3 linked regions of the Arabidopsis thaliana genome follow. The protein of the gene in region 2 purifies or fractionates together with the protein of the main gene of each other region. This does not show direct contact. Each region holds a gene or a part of one and is shown on either strand. Other genes may lie near its edges.

Region 1 (5,895 bases), on a different chromosome or scaffold from region 2:
CCAAGGATTCTAGAAACTAGAAACAAATTTTACTAAAATTAATTGAGGGAAAACTCAAGAATGTGTGTGTGATCATTGAAGAAATGAAGAATGTGTGTTAGAGTGAGTGAATATTCAAAAGACTCAAATAGGTTTTTAATGAACAATAGGGAACCCGAGGAAACGCGTGACTCTAAGATATATGAATTTATTTTGCACTTATTACTTTTGATTAATTTTTATATTCTAACCCTTTTTTATATACTATTTTTTTCAGTGCAAGTAATGAATGAAGTAACGAGATGAGAGTCTAGTTTCAAAGTTTTGAATCTTTTTGGTCAATGTCGTCTCTATTTGTTGACCATATTATACGTTTGACTTTAACCCCATTTTTCTTTAATCTCATTCTTCTTCTTTGCTTCAATGGTTGACGAATTCTTACCGTAGAAGTTGCATCTAAATATACCAAAGATTAATACTGCGAAAATATGATAAAGAAGATTTTTTTTTTTTGTACTCTCTAGAAATTTGTAAACGATATTATTAGTGTTTGATTAAAGACTCCAATTTTTAACATAATGTCTATATCCACATAATGAATTTGTGTCTCTACTATATGTAGTGTTCCCGTCATATATGCATTTTTGCGATAGTCAATCGGATCTTTGTATTGCGGTTAATTGATCTGGTCTTTCTTGAGCGTACAAAATAAATAGAATTGTACGTATTATTAGAGATGGTTACATTTGGTTTACATTATTAGTTAAAGTTAACCAATAATGTAAACCAATAAAGTTAACCAATAATGTAAACCAAATGTAACTATCTCTAATACGTATGTTGACTATGATGTACTTCAAGACAAGTTCATCATCACTTAACGTAACTAACACTATATTAGTTAAGTTCAAGACTTATTGCCCATGATTCATTTGTAAACTATGAAGTAACATATCTCTGATTTTTTCCTCTTATGTTTGATAAATTAGTCATTATAATTAGTGTCTTGCCAAAAAGTACACTTCTATCTTATTAGCATTCTACATTACAAACTATTAATTTCACTACGTATAGCGGTATAGGGAGAAGATCAATAAGGCGATCACAATATTAGTTAAGTTCCGAGTCTTGCATTACCATTGTCCTATGAATCACAGAACAAGAGGACGCATATATATATAGTATTTATAAAAGACTAAGATAGTCACAGAACAAGAGGACGCATATATAATTGACAAATACTCAAAACATGTGAAAAGATAAGGGCTATTACGTCTTCATTAAGATCCCATAATCTTTATGATGAGAACTTAAGAGCCAAACTAGCTATGTAACAAAATATCAAGTTTGAAAGTAATAAACTGCTTGAATAAGCTTCAAGTTCACTACATGGTTTAGAAAGGTTTAAAATCTATTACTTTCAAACGCTTTTATTGTGTACCAATCAATCCAACAAAGTATGCAATCGTACTAATCAATCCAACAAAGTATACACTCACACCGGTAACATCAAAAATTCAAAAATTCAAAATTTCATGTTACCAATCAATCCAACAAAATATACAATCCCTGAGACCGAGTTATAATTTGTTGGAATGATTGGTACCAGTGAAATTGTGTTGTCGTGTGAACATCAACACATAGGAGGTAATATACGTAAATATGCTAGCAATCAAGCTAAGTATACAAAACACTTCATGTTGCAGTGTTCTATTGAAATTTTATATATCGAACTAGAATACTATCATGGAGAATGATCAAATGTTGCATATCTTCATATCCACGAAAAATGAGTACACAAACATTCGATCATACCCCATGACAGTTTTCTAGTTTATACTTGATAGTCCTCACGATTTCATGGTGGTGACACTACACAAACCCTAGATTCCCCTAAAGTTTTTGTGAAAAACGCATATGTTCGATTTTAGGTTTTACTTCTATCCTTGATTCATTACAAACCTATTTTTATACTAATTCGTCGTTAACCTAATAATTTTAACCTACGAAACCCAACCTATATGGGCCTGACTTTATGTAATGATCCAATGGGCCTTTCTTCTTCAATGATGACTTTCTTCATTGACTCTCCTTCTACTTTCGATGGTATTAAATTTGACGGAAAAAGTAAAACGATACCGTCTGGGTGAAAGGCAGAGCTCTTTGCTTCTGAATATTATTATTTTCTTAAATTCTTCCGTTTTTTTTTTTAATCCAACCACAAGGATCGATAACGAAATCATCAGATCGCCAGAAAAAAAAAAAAAATTGCGAAATGGAGAATCTGAGCTGCAGATCTGCGTCAATCTCCATCTAGATGTTGTTGCTACTTCTTCCTCTATAGAACCATAATTTCATCAGATCTCGCTGATTAATCATCCCCATTTGGATCTGATCGAAACTCTTAGGGAAGAACATGGCAGGAGCTGCCTCCGCGCTGTTTCTGCTTGATATCAAGGGACGCGTTCTCGTCTGGCGTGATTATCGTGGCGATGTCTCCGCTGCTCAAGCCGAGCGATTCTTCACTAAGCTCATCGAGAAAGAGGTTGTTCTGATCTTCCTCTTATCGCTAATTGGTCTTTGTTTATTGCTTGGTTACTGTAGAATTTTCAGAGAAACATAGAGTTAGCGAACGAACTTGTAGATTTGTGTTTGAAAGATTCGTCAATTGGAATTGAAACATTTCGAAGATAATGGATTCGTGTCCATTTTCATCTGCACTGGAAATGAATTTTGAAGATAATGGATTCGTATCAGTCTTTGTGATCTGATGCCGCTGAAATTTTTTGGAAGTAATGAACAAGTTTGATCATTGGTTAAATGTTTTGGATTAGAATTTGATTTGAATCTGTACTTTTGAAGCATTCTGGTTTAAATCAGAGTAATCATCGTTTTGTTTAATTGTTCAGGGTGATTCACAGTCAAATGATCCAGTTGCTTACGATAATGGGGTGACTTATATGTTTGTACAACATAGTAATGTATACTTGATGATAGCATCCAGGCAGAATTGTAATGCTGCCAGTCTTCTCTTCTTTCTTCACCGCGTTGTCGATGTAAGTATGGCTGGTCAATTCTTTAGTTTTTCTCTTAAGGTTCCATCTTTTTCCTGGATATTTGATGTAATGGCAATGGTATCTGTTATCTGGTTATAGGTTTTCAAGCATTACTTCGAGGAGTTAGAAGAGGAATCATTGAGGGATAACTTTGTGGTAGTGGTATGTTAAGCTTCTGTCATCGCTCTTTTAGTACTATTTCGCAATATATTTTTCTATTACTTGGGCAATCAAAAAGATCCTTAAAATTTTGGAAAAGTATTTGTCATTGTTAGATGCTGAAATTGATTTTTTGGTGCTGGCAGTATGAGCTACTTGACGAGATGATGGACTTTGGTTACCCTCAGTATACCGAAGCAAGAATTCTCAGTGAATTCATCAAGACTGATGCATATAGAATGGAAGTTACACAGAGACCTCCAATGGCTGTGACGAATGCTGTCTCCTGGAGGAGTGAGGGAATACAGTACAAGAAGAATGAAGTGAGTGCCATTGTTTTCGCAAGATAGGAATATGTTTCTGATGTTTCGGTTTGCAAATAATGACAACCTGCTTCTTTTTCCAGGTTTTCTTGGATGTTATTGAGAATGTAAATATTCTTGTCAACAGTAATGGGCAAATTGTCAGGTCTGATGTTGTTGGAGCGCTGAAGATGCGAACTTACTTGACGTATGTCAACACATCAAATTTACGATATAGTTCCTAATCAGCCAAAGCATGTTAAATCACGTCCCTTTTTGACTATTTTGCTCTTTGATCCATTCTATTGCAGTGGAATGCCAGAGTGTAAGTTAGGACTGAATGATAGAGTATTGCTGGAAGCGCAGGGACGAGCAACTAAGGGAAAAGCCATTGATTTGGAGGACATCAAATTTCATCAGTACGTCTTTAAGTTTTTATTATATTGAAACTTGGAAAGTCTTCACTGATCTTAACCCTTCTATTTTCTTTTTGTTCAAAAAGATTATATACTTGAGTTTTATGTATTCTCTTCTTCAACAACCATTTATTTAATGCAGGTGTGTTCGATTGGCCCGTTTTGAAAACGATAGGACGATATCTTTCATACCACCTGATGGGGCTTTTGATCTGATGACATATAGACTCAGCACTCAGGTTTGACATGTGGGATATAGCATCTACTGGAATTGTTCCACGTCTTCAACAAGTAAATATCATGATTTGTTTCTTTTATGTTCAGGTAAAGCCACTTATATGGGTGGAAGCACAAATAGAAAGTCATTCAAGAAGTCGTGTTGAGATGCTCATAAAAGCTAGAAGTCAGTTCAAGGAACGAAGGTAAATATATTCTATGGTATTTGTGCCACTTTCCTTTTCTGTCTTACTGTCATGCAAAGATCCTGATTGATCAGATTCTTTAAACCTTTGATCACGAACATTCTTTTTGTAGCACCGCAACGAACGTTGAGATTGAGTTGCCTGTACCAACCGATGCATCTAACCCCACCGTTAGGACATCTCTAGGGTCTGCCTCTTATGCTCCTGAAAAAGATGCGTTAGTCTGGAAAATCAAATCTTTCCCGGGGAACAAGGTATAACACTAACAAGGTTCAATAAACTCTTAAATTCAGTTGAAACAGTCAGCAATGTAGACTATGTAGTATCAATGCTAACCTTCAGAAAACCAATATAGGAGTACATGTTAAGGGCAGAGTTCCATCTTCCAAGTATCACTGCAGAGGAAGCAACTCCTGAGCGAAAGGCTCCTATCCGTGTCAAATTTGAGATCCCTTATTTCACTGTTTCAGGGATTCAGGTAAGCTTGTGCTTAATAATAAATGGTTACTGTCTCTTCCACAATGTCATATATATAATATATATGTTCTTTGGTGTGTAGGTTCGGTACCTAAAGATTATTGAGAAGAGTGGGTACCAAGCACTTCCATGGGTGAGATACATAACCATGGCTGGTGAGTACGAACTAAGACTCGTGTAATGCACATTTAGTTTCATCGTCTATGTCAATTGTGATTCCCACATCCCTCAAGGAATTGCCTGAATCAAAGAAGCAAAACGAAACAGGACAAAAGTAGAGGGAAAAGAAAACGTTTTGAAACATTTTAGCTGATCAAATTTTCCTTTAATTTGTTTTAGAAGCCATATTCTTGTGAATTTGTCTTTATGGTGATTCTATTTTATTTTACATGAGGCTCTCTGTAACCTTTCACGACATGGTTCATTATTTTCCTTTAGACTGCTACATTTCTGTCTATGTGTTCGTTCTGCGATCAAAATTGTTAAACGTTGAGGTTTTGGTTTTGTTTTTTGGGGCATTCGTCTATGTTTACATAGGTTTCTCTCGAGTTATGATCAAAATGAAACTACATAAACAAATTATGCTTCAATAGAGTGAGGTGAGAGAGCCTTACAATAGAGAGAACGTATATTTTGGTGTTTCTCATATTGTTTAACTGATATAGTATGGGCCGAAATGAAATAATCGTCAGGCCCATTAAAAAGCCCATAATCACCATACTTTCTCCTCCAATTCTGTTTCGAGCTTGGGAAGTGACAGTGAATTAGGGTTTTACTCAAAAAACCTTCTCGTTGTCGTTGTTTACTGCTCCGACGAGAAAATGGCGATGCGACATTTGAGCCGATCGAGAGACGTTACAAAGAGATCGACAAAGAAGTACATCGAAGAACCTCTGTACAATCGCCTCTTCAAAGATGGTGGTACAGAGGTCAAAGTTCGACAGCAGCTTAATCAGTTCCTCAAAGGCACTAAACACGTCTTCAAATGGGAGGTCGGCGATACGATCAAGAAACTCCGAAATCGCGGCCTCTATTACCCAGCTCTCAAGGTTTCATAAATCCAAATTGCATTTTCGATTCTCTA
Region 2 (4,322 bases):
ATATTGTCAGCGCTGTGTTCATCGCCACTGGCCAAGACCCAGCTCAAAACGTGGAGAGCTCACACTGTATGACCATGATTCTTCCCGATGGTGACGACCTTCACATCTCTGTTTCAATGCCTTGCATTGAGGTATAATGCATGTTCTATCTTGAAATTAAACCCATTATTGCAGAGAACACAAAGCCGTTAGTTTTTTGAATTATTGTTGGATCCAACTCATGAATGTTTTGTTTATTGATGTGACTCCAGGTTGGTACTGTTGGAGGTGGGACACAACTTGCATCACAAGCAGCTTGTTTGAATCTACTCGGTGTGAAAGGATCAAACAACGAGAAACCTGGCTCGAACGCACAGCAATTGGCAAGAATAGTGGCTGGTTCGGTTCTTGCAGGAGAGCTTTCACTAATGTCTGCTATTGCAGCTGGACAGCTTGTGAAGAGTCACATGAAATACAACAGATCCAGCAGAGACATTGGCCCTTCGTCTCAAGTCAACAGGTGATGTTTGGAGCACGATGAGACGGATAATAATAAAACAACAAAAACCCATAATTAGATTTGATGTAATTCTAACTTCATTTGATTTCTTCTTCATCGATCTCTTTTCTTTTCTATCTATTTTGTACTAAGTCTCCAAATTTTCTTAATTTATGTAAAGTCTTTTGTCCTTCCATCTTTATGGCTTATATTAATATCATAGCTTAGCATCAAAATGTGTAATTAAATTGCGGTTTAAGCTTTAAAGCCATGATTTTTTTTTCTAACATTGAATAGATTATTGTGGCAGTGTTTGCTTTGTGATGATTATGTACGTGACAGAGTTAGGTACTACTAATAAATGTAGAAATGTAGTTGTGAATATTGCAGACGATGGAGGAGTGATATGGTAGTTTGACAAATGAAGCATTTGAGGCAATGAAGTCTCTCCTCATGGCATGTGTGTGTATGGGTCTTTGATGATATCTTAGAAAGTAAGCAGTAGAGACTGTGCAGAGAGCTAAACCAACAATCATTATTGATTTTAAACCAAAGAGAGTAAGAGTTTTATTATTATTGATTTCTGATTACTTCTCTTACAATTGAAGTAATGAATTTTATGTTACGACAAATTTGATCATTTATATAGACGTAAAAATGTAAATTATTATGCATGCATAGTGACGCTGAGGCTCATACAAGTTATAATTTACTCTCAATATTTTCAGGTTGCACATCAATTGTTGATATTTTGTTTCCTCCTTTGTTCTAACTTTTACAACAATAATATCTCATTTTGAAAAATTGCCTAAACCTTTTAATAAAAAGTTGTGATTTTGTTGCAATTTTTAATCTGTAAAAATGCAATCCGATTAAGTCGGACCGTCAGATCAGTCCTCATCTTGTTTGTTTAACGGTCCAGATTTAAAACACTACCCCAGTAAATACAAAACCAACTGAAGAAAAATAAATAAAAAGTAAATTTTTAAAGAGTCCGACCCGGGTCCCTCAAAAAAAAAAAACTCCGACCCGGGACAAGATCCGTATCCAACAAACTTATATGTGTATCGGACACAGAAGAATACTTTCCACGATCATCAGCTTCTGGAGATCTCTTCTGGGAATCGAGCTTCACTGTTAAAGATTTTCCTTCAATCGGCTAAAAATGGTAACAATCGCCACTCCCTTTGCTTTTGGGCTTCTCTGTTATCTGTTCGAATTTTGGATCTGCCTTCGATCTTGTACTATTGCATCGAGTATCTACGATTTGATTTGATGATGAAATTGAATCTAATCCTCCGGTATCCGTAGATTTCTGCTTGGATCTGTCCGGTTCTTTTCTCGCTTACGAATTGATCGATTATTTAGGAAGTGAAAGGATTAGTTTGTTTCGTGAAGCTTGAAATTGTTATGTTTCTGTTGCCCATTCGAATCTCTTGTGAGTTATTAAATCCAATTCATTGTTTTTGAACCACTATTGCTCTTGAAGTAATTAAGCTTCTTGGATTCAAATGTAATAGGGTCTAAGCTAGTTCATGTACCTCACATCTCTTTATTTGCCTCTGTTTCTGAATTGGCAAAATAAGCTCGTTGATCTCTCCATCTTTCCATATCTTTAAATGGTTTAAAAACTTTTCTTGAGATGCTTGTGGCTTGCGTTTAGGTGTATGATGGTAAATGATTCTCAAGTTCTGGTACTTGATCTCTCACAATTCCCTCTTTTGCTTGCCTTATGCAATTATGTGCATTTCAAATCTTTATGAGTTGCCAGAAATCGTGATATATACTACTGGTTTTGTCTGGTCTTGTTTTAATTCTCTTTATCTCGATGCTGTCTTTGTGATTCTAGAATTTTCTCATGCTTGATATGGGTGAGGAGACGTCAAAAACTAATTAATGTGTTATGTATTGCCATTCACAATGATAGAATAATGCTTTCTTGAAAAGAAAAAAAAAAACTTCTAAGGTGGCTGTTTTGGGTTATGTTTGTATTTTCAGATACATTTCGTGTTACTAGTCAGTCGACAAGGGAAAGTAAGGCTCACCAAGTGGTATTCGCCGTATACGCAGAAGGAAAGATCTAAGGTATGTACAGCTTAAGTGTTATTGAGTTAATGCCGCATTATGCTTTGCATGCCTATTTAATCTTACATTTGGAAAAATGATCTGGACAGGTCATACGTGAACTCAGTGGAGTGATTCTGAACCGAGGTCCCAAGCTCTGCAATTTTATTGAATGGAGAGGATACAAGGTTGTCTACAAAAGGTAATAGACATATTTTATATAAGTAGCATGTATTTGCTACTTTAAAAACAATGGTTATAAACATGATGGTTTTGTAATTTTGCAGATATGCAAGCTTGTACTTCTGCATGTGCATTGATGAGGCGGATAACGAGTTAGAGGTACTGGAGATAATTCATCACTACGTCGAGATTCTTGACCGCTACTTTGGCAGTGTGAGTAAACGCTTATCCAAAATATACTCCTACCACTCTATCATAACCTTACAAAACATCTAGATTTTGATTAAGAGCTGTTTATTCTATGATCTTCAGGTGTGTGAACTCGATTTGATTTTTAACTTCCACAAGGTATACATACTCAACTCTATCAATGATTCTCTACTCTCTGTATTTTACTTCAATATGACAATTTTCGAATCTGGTTGTTTTGTTCTAGGCGTATTATATACTCGATGAGCTGTTGATCGCCGGAGAACTTCAAGAGTCAAGCAAGAAAACAGTTGCAAGGATAATATCAGCCCAGGTATGGTTTCTTAATCCTAATGCCCACTGAGACAAAAACGATTAGTCCGTAAGGGTTGTGTAAATGATGTTGTGTTATAATATTTGAAGGATCAATTGGTGGAAGTTGCGAAAGAGGAGGCGAGTTCCATAAGTAATATAATTGCTCAGGCTACCAAGTAGTCCTTTTCTGAACTTTTCTTATGCAGCTGAAACAATCGTAAATGAGTTAATATTTTCCTTAAACTCTGAGATATTCTCTTCTGAATCACACTTTTGTTTGTCATGTCATGTGATTGTTTGATTGATTAGAAGAAAGAAGCATTCATCGTTTTGGGTTTAAAAGTAGTGATTGATCTGCGAAATCATAAATGGTATACTATTTTTTCACATATGTTACGTTTTAAAACGTGGAATGCTGAAATTTCATCAAGTTCATCATCTCGAAATTATAATTTGTCCGATTGATTGAATAGAATTGGTTTTTGAGCCTGAGGACTGATGCACCAAACAACATGCCAGTGTCTCGTTCTTTCTTCTTCAACGTGCCTAATTTTGTAATTCGGGCGACCTAACCTCATTTTGTGTAACCGTGATCCGCCATGAGAGGAGGTATCCGCTCGAAGAGTTATCCTTTCTCCTCACAAAAGCAACGCCAATGTCCCTTTTCTCACTTTGCCCTGTTTGCTCCTTAGTACTTGTTTCACCAAAATAATCTATAGGATTTCAAATACATGAAGAATGTTTGATGGTAACACCAAAAATAGTGGAGAAGAAACAGACACTTATGGGCTTGGGCTCAAGGACTCGAAACTTGTATACCCAAACTTAAACGTGACTGCGTCTTGTTCTTACCAATCCAATAATTTATAGTAATGATAATAATTCATCTTTCCATATATAATTTTTTTTAATTATTGAAATTAAAAATGAGGGAAAGAATATCCGTTTTCTTTGCCACAAAAACATTTTCATTTGGGGGTTTTCATAATTTTTGGTTCTTCAGCTCCTCAAGCTTCGATAGGTATCGATCGTCTTCACCATACTTTTGGATTTTTTCTGATCACGTTTCAATTCCAATCTGAGAGATCTTCCT
Region 3 (5,251 bases), on a different chromosome or scaffold from region 2:
AGGAAGAAGAAGAAGAGGAAACAGATGAAGAAGAAGAAGAAGAAGAAGAGATCGCTGCGGTTGCTCTTACAGACGAAGTGCTAGCATTTGCGAGGAACATAGCAATGCATCCAGAAACTTGGTTGGATTTTCCTCTTGATCCTGACGAAGATCTTGATGGTAACGTATACATTGAGTCAAGTCTTTCGCTATTAGTCTTCATTGATTTGACTTATAGGCATATCAAAAGTTTGATTATTTCAACTTTTATCTAATGTAGATTTGGAAATGAGTGATGCTCAAAGAGGTCATGCTTTAGCTATTGAGCGTCTTGCTCCGAGGTTAGCTGCATTGAGAATAGAGCTTTGTCCATGTCATATGAGTGTTGGTTACTTCTGGAAAGTCTATTTTGTTCTTCTTCTTTCAAGGCTCAATAAACACGATGCTCATCTTTTGTCTTCTCCACAGGTTAAAAAAACCTGAATCTCAATCTCTTCTTGAGTCAAAATGATTCTTTGTTGTTGCTGTTGTTTATTCAACAAAATCCTTTTGCTTTTGCAGGTGATGGAAGCTAGAGCATTGTGGATGAAAGAGCTTCAGAATCAGACACATTCTTCAAAAGAAAGTAGAGATATGATTCTTGAGGAAGAAGATATTACACCATCAACTTCTAATTACTACAACCATGCTCCTCCTGAGTTTCTTTCTCCAAGAATATATGCTTTTGAACCTCCTTCGATTATGTATCGCGATTTTGAACACGGGTTTGAAAACGCTCAGTTCATCGATAAAGCTGTTATTGAGGAAAAACCAATCCAGAAGAACGACAAAAATAGTGCAAGCCTTAGCCAAACATCTAAAGATGTTGTTGATGATGATGATGATGATTGGCCAGAAGAAGAAGATTCTGCTAATTCTTGGGCTCCAATGTTTACAGTGAATGAGGATGATGTTTCTTTCAGTGATCTTGAAGGAGACGACGATATAAGTAGCTTAGCACTCAAGTCTAAGATTACATCAAAGGGCACAGACCAAAAAGGAACATGAAACATCATCTGGCTTGTTGCTTTGCCCTGCCTCACGAGATCGAATCAATAGAATTGAACATAAGTACTGTGTGCTGAGTCAAATCGTGGAAGTCTTTTGGGTGAGTTTGATTGTTTTGTGGATTTATGATGTTTGCTCTCAAAGAGAAGGAAGAAAGAAAGAAAAAGGTTTTGATTGAAACATGTACAGAAGATTTACTTTGACACTGCAATTTCATTGTAATGTTCTCTCTCGCCAAATGTAATGAAATATTGAAAAGCACTATTTCATTCGCGTGGAACTTAAAAGAAATTGATAGAGAATGGCGCAAGTGAATTCAAGTGTAACAAACTGTTAGAATCATTATTGGATTGGAAAATCATATGGGATTTTATTGCTTATGTTGAGGATTTGTATGTATGAAAATGGGAACAACCAGGAGGAGCTATCATCAATTAACAAAATAACTCCTATGACTTAACTAAAAAACAAATCTATGTTGAAATGTATAACATTTGTCAAAATGCTAGTACTTTGTTAATAATTAAGGGGTGTTATTGGTTTGTGATTTATATAGAGTTTTAGTGATTTAAAAATATTATATAGAATCTGATGTTATTCAATTCAAATTTTCATTTTTTTTTTTTAATTTGGTATTATTAGTTTAAGATTTATAAAAATTAATCTAAAATCTTCGTAAGTAAGATTGCTTCCCTAATACAGAGAAAGAAAGAAAAACCAAGTAAGATTGGTAATACGATGTCGTTTCGCAGAATAATGCAAAGCTGAACCCAATTTAATAAGCTGCACTTTTCTTTCTTTCTCGAGTCTCCCGTCGTTTTTTATGTCAGAACCAATTCGTCAGGTCGTGAATAAGTGACTTTATCGACGAACCACCACTCAGCTGCAGCAAATGATCGTTTAGCTCCGGCGAAGCGTAAAATTCTTCAGATCTCTCTGGAATTAATAATCCGTCTGTTTGATCGATCTGATTCGGCAAATCCTTGAGAAAACAAGGAGGGAAGAAGAAGAAGAACATGGCAGGGGCGGCCTCAGCGCTGTTTCTGCTCGATATCAAAGGTCGTGTTCTCGTGTGGCGCGATTACCGTGGCGATGTCACCGCTGCTCAAGCTGAGCGTTTCTTCACCAAACTCATCGAGACAGAGGTGAAGTTTTAACATTTGGAACTAATGAACAAGCTTGATCAGTGCTTAAAAGGATTCAATTTGATCAGAATCGTTATACTTATGACTAAATGACTAGTGTTTTCTCTGCGGGTTTGCTTACTTTCGTCTAATATGTTCAGGGTGATTCACAGTCAAATGATCCGGTTGCTTATGATAATGGCGTGACCTACATGTTTGTACAGCATAGTAACATTTACCTCATGATAGCGTCCAGACAGAACTGTAATGCTGCCAGTCTTCTCTTCTTCTTGCATCGTGTAGTCGATGTAAGCATCCCTAGTGATTCAGTTTTTTGCATTTCCATCTGTTTTCTGAATTTGAAGAAAAAAGAACGGCACTGTTTCATATGTTACAGTCTTATACTGATCGTAGGTCTTCAAGCATTACTTCGAGGAGTTAGAGGAAGAATCTTTGAGAGATAACTTTGTGGTAGTGGTAAGATAATGCTTCTCACATCTCTTCTTATAACTGTTTTCCCTCTTGCATGAGGTGGATATGTGTGGGCGAAAGTTATTTCTAAAAACATTTACTTATGTTACTGGCAGTATGAGTTACTTGACGAGATGATGGACTTTGGTTACCCTCAGTTTACTGAGGCAAGAATCCTTAGTGAATTCATCAAGACTGATGCATATAGAATGGAAGTTACACAGAGACCTCCAATGGCTGTCACTAATTCTGTCTCATGGAGGAGTGAGGGGTTAAAGTTTAAGAAAAACGAAGTAGGTGCTCAACATTTTACTTTTCAATTGTTTTAGGTTTTCTAATGTTTGCAGACTGATGTTTTGTTTTCCAGGTTTTCTTGGATGTGATAGAGAGTGTAAATATCCTTGTGAACAGTAATGGGCAAATTGTCAGGTCTGATGTCGTTGGAGCTTTGAAGATGCGAACATACTTGAGGTGCGTTCTCTAGTGTCCCTAGTTAACCAACGCATTTAAAATCAAAAGTCCCTCCTCTTTGACTCTCTGCTTCTTTATCCATGTTATTACAGTGGAATGCCAGAGTGTAAGCTAGGCTTGAATGACAGAATATTGTTGGAGGCACAGGGACGAGCAATAAAAGGAAAAGCCATTGATTTGGAGGACATCAAATTTCATCAGTACGTTAATCTCTTGCAACTTTAAACATTCTTTGACAGTCACTCTATCGAGGCCAATTTTTTTACTAACTCGAAAAATTATTGAATACTTGAGTTTTTACACGTCTCTTTCTTCAAAATGTAGGTGTGTTCGATTAGCCCGTTTTGAGAACGACAGGACAATATCATTCATACCACCTGATGGATCTTTTGATCTTATGACGTATAGACTCAGTACTCAGGTTTTAGAATGTGTAATATTGCAGAAATGGTTTTGTCCCCTTCTTAAACGAATTATATCATGATATATCTTATTTTCGCATAATACTTGTTCAGGTAAAGCCTCTTATATGGGTGGAAGCGCATATAGAGAGGCATTCCAGAAGTCGTGTTGAGATGCTAGTAAAAGCTAGAAGCCAATTCAAGGACAGAAGGTAAGTAACAAATGTTACTTAACACGTTTAACCATTACCTGAAATACTGAAATACTGGAATCCTTTAACGCGTTTTGATAAGAGTTCCTTTTTTCTGCAGCTATGCAACAAGTGTTGAGATTGAGTTACCTGTACCAACTGATGCGTATAACCCCGATGTAAGAACATCTCTCGGGTCGGCCGCATATGCTCCTGAGAAAGATGCACTGGTCTGGAAGATACAATATTTCTATGGGAACAAGGTAAGTTCTTATAGTTTAATGTAACACTTGACCATGTAAAGTCGAATGCTTACATTAAGTTTTGAAACAATGTAGGAGCATACATTGAAAGCAGATTTCCATCTTCCAAGTATAGCCGCAGAGGAAGCAACGCCTGAGCGAAAAGCTCCAATCCGTGTCAAATTTGAGATCCCAAAATTCATAGTTTCAGGAATACAGGTTGGTATTACTCACAATGATACGTTATTATCATATAGATCACATTCTTTTTATATTACTGCATTGAAATCTGAAGGCAAACAAACCTGATGTGTGTTAATTATGGGTATTGCAGGTTCGATACCTGAAGATCATTGAGAAGAGTGGGTACCAGGCACATCCATGGGTGAGATATATAACCATGGCTGGTGAGTACGAACTGAGACTCATGTAAAATGAGATCGTTTTTTTGTTTTTACTATTATTTAAGCCATTGTCAACGACACAAAGCAGAGGAAGATCAATGAGAAAAGGAAAAAGATTGAAATATATTAGCTGATAGAATTTGCGGTGAAGGTTGTTTTAGAAGCCATTTTCTTGTGAATTGTTTCATGGCGTTCTCTTTTTTTTTTTTTTTTTTCTGTAAAACTATATACGACAGTTATATATATATTGGGTTACAATTGTTAAACATCGAGTTTTATTTGGGGTTCTTTCAGTTCGTTTACCGATGGAAAATGCATGCAGTCTGGGTGACTACACCAATAATGGTTTTCCTTAAACGTCCGCTAATTTTGTAAGAGTTCACTATATAAATAACTTTGATGAGGCAGTAGAGCAACATGACGAACTAACAAATATTATAATTTTCAAAATGGAAGATATATATTTTACAGTACAACAAATCGAGAGGAGAACAAGAAGAACAATGAATAATCTGTATTAGTAGTAAATAGCCTAAACAAAAACTTAAGCCCTCAACGTAACAACCCTAAAACATTTTTTTTTTGCATGTGATCAATGTACAAAGTTGTTTATTCTGGGTGATGATGATGAACGAGGAGAAGAAGGAGATTGATTGGGGAGAGTCTGAGGAATCTTTCTAAAAACATGTTTCCTGCAACGTTGGAAGATGCTGTCGTATATCAGATCAAACTGAACACCAGCTCTCTCTCTGTTCACTATGAACATTATGTGATCTGCTTCCACTATCTTATAATACCTGCAACAACAAGGTATTCAGATTTTCTCAATCCATCAACGTCATTAGGTCATATATGATTCACTTACCAGATCCCGGGTTGTAATGTTTGACATTCCGAATCGCTCCTTATGAACCGGCTCGG

The links.
Region 1: the proteins of AP19 (region 2) and HAP13 fractionate together in Arabidopsis thaliana (co-fractionation; one large-scale study listed by BioGRID). This does not show direct contact.
Region 3: the proteins of AP19 (region 2) and AT1G10730 fractionate together in Arabidopsis thaliana (co-fractionation; one large-scale study listed by BioGRID). This does not show direct contact.

Annotation. Positions count from the first base shown.
Region 1 is NC_003070.9:22,368,386-22,374,280, reverse strand, and holds HAP13 (Clathrin adaptor complexes medium subunit family protein), read left to right. Parts: upstream 1-2,057; 5' UTR 2,058-2,395; coding exon 2,396-2,524; intron 2,525-2,888; coding exon 2,889-3,035; intron 3,036-3,134; coding exon 3,135-3,197; intron 3,198-3,340; coding exon 3,341-3,517; intron 3,518-3,600; coding exon 3,601-3,704; intron 3,705-3,807; coding exon 3,808-3,915; intron 3,916-4,054; coding exon 4,055-4,151; intron 4,152-4,236; coding exon 4,237-4,334; intron 4,335-4,446; coding exon 4,447-4,588; intron 4,589-4,689; coding exon 4,690-4,812; intron 4,813-4,893; coding exon 4,894-4,992; 3' UTR 4,993-5,328; downstream 5,329-5,895. Other genes in the region: AT1G60770 (Tetratricopeptide repeat (TPR)-like superfamily protein), read left to right, coding at 5,633-5,860. UniProt on the Arabidopsis thaliana protein: Subunit of clathrin-associated adaptor protein complex 1 that plays a role in protein sorting at the trans-Golgi network and early endosomes (TGN/EE).
Region 2 is NC_003071.7:7,551,479-7,555,800, forward strand, and holds AP19 (associated protein 19), read left to right. Parts: upstream 1-1,513; 5' UTR 1,514-1,643; coding exon 1,644-1,646; intron 1,647-2,476; coding exon 2,477-2,563; intron 2,564-2,652; coding exon 2,653-2,744; intron 2,745-2,829; coding exon 2,830-2,938; intron 2,939-3,037; coding exon 3,038-3,073; intron 3,074-3,161; coding exon 3,162-3,248; intron 3,249-3,337; coding exon 3,338-3,409; 3' UTR 3,410-3,685; downstream 3,686-4,322. Other genes in the region: HMG2 (3-hydroxy-3-methylglutaryl-CoA reductase 2), read left to right, coding at 1-131, 252-503. UniProt on the Arabidopsis thaliana protein: Subunit of clathrin-associated adaptor protein complex 1 that plays a role in protein sorting at the trans-Golgi network and early endosomes (TGN/EE).
Region 3 is NC_003070.9:3,563,421-3,568,671, forward strand, and holds AT1G10730 (Clathrin adaptor complexes medium subunit family protein), read left to right. Parts: upstream 1-1,836; 5' UTR 1,837-2,042; coding exon 2,043-2,171; intron 2,172-2,311; coding exon 2,312-2,458; intron 2,459-2,564; coding exon 2,565-2,627; intron 2,628-2,737; coding exon 2,738-2,914; intron 2,915-2,988; coding exon 2,989-3,092; intron 3,093-3,184; coding exon 3,185-3,292; intron 3,293-3,416; coding exon 3,417-3,513; intron 3,514-3,607; coding exon 3,608-3,705; intron 3,706-3,805; coding exon 3,806-3,947; intron 3,948-4,022; coding exon 4,023-4,145; intron 4,146-4,260; coding exon 4,261-4,359; 3' UTR 4,360-4,686; downstream 4,687-5,251. Other genes in the region: AT1G10720 (BSD domain-containing protein), read left to right, coding at 1-159, 260-447, 541-1,026; AT1G10740 (alpha/beta-Hydrolases superfamily protein), read right to left, coding at 4,923-5,127, 5,196-5,251. UniProt on the Arabidopsis thaliana protein: Subunit of clathrin-associated adaptor protein complex 1 that plays a role in protein sorting at the trans-Golgi network and early endosomes (TGN/EE).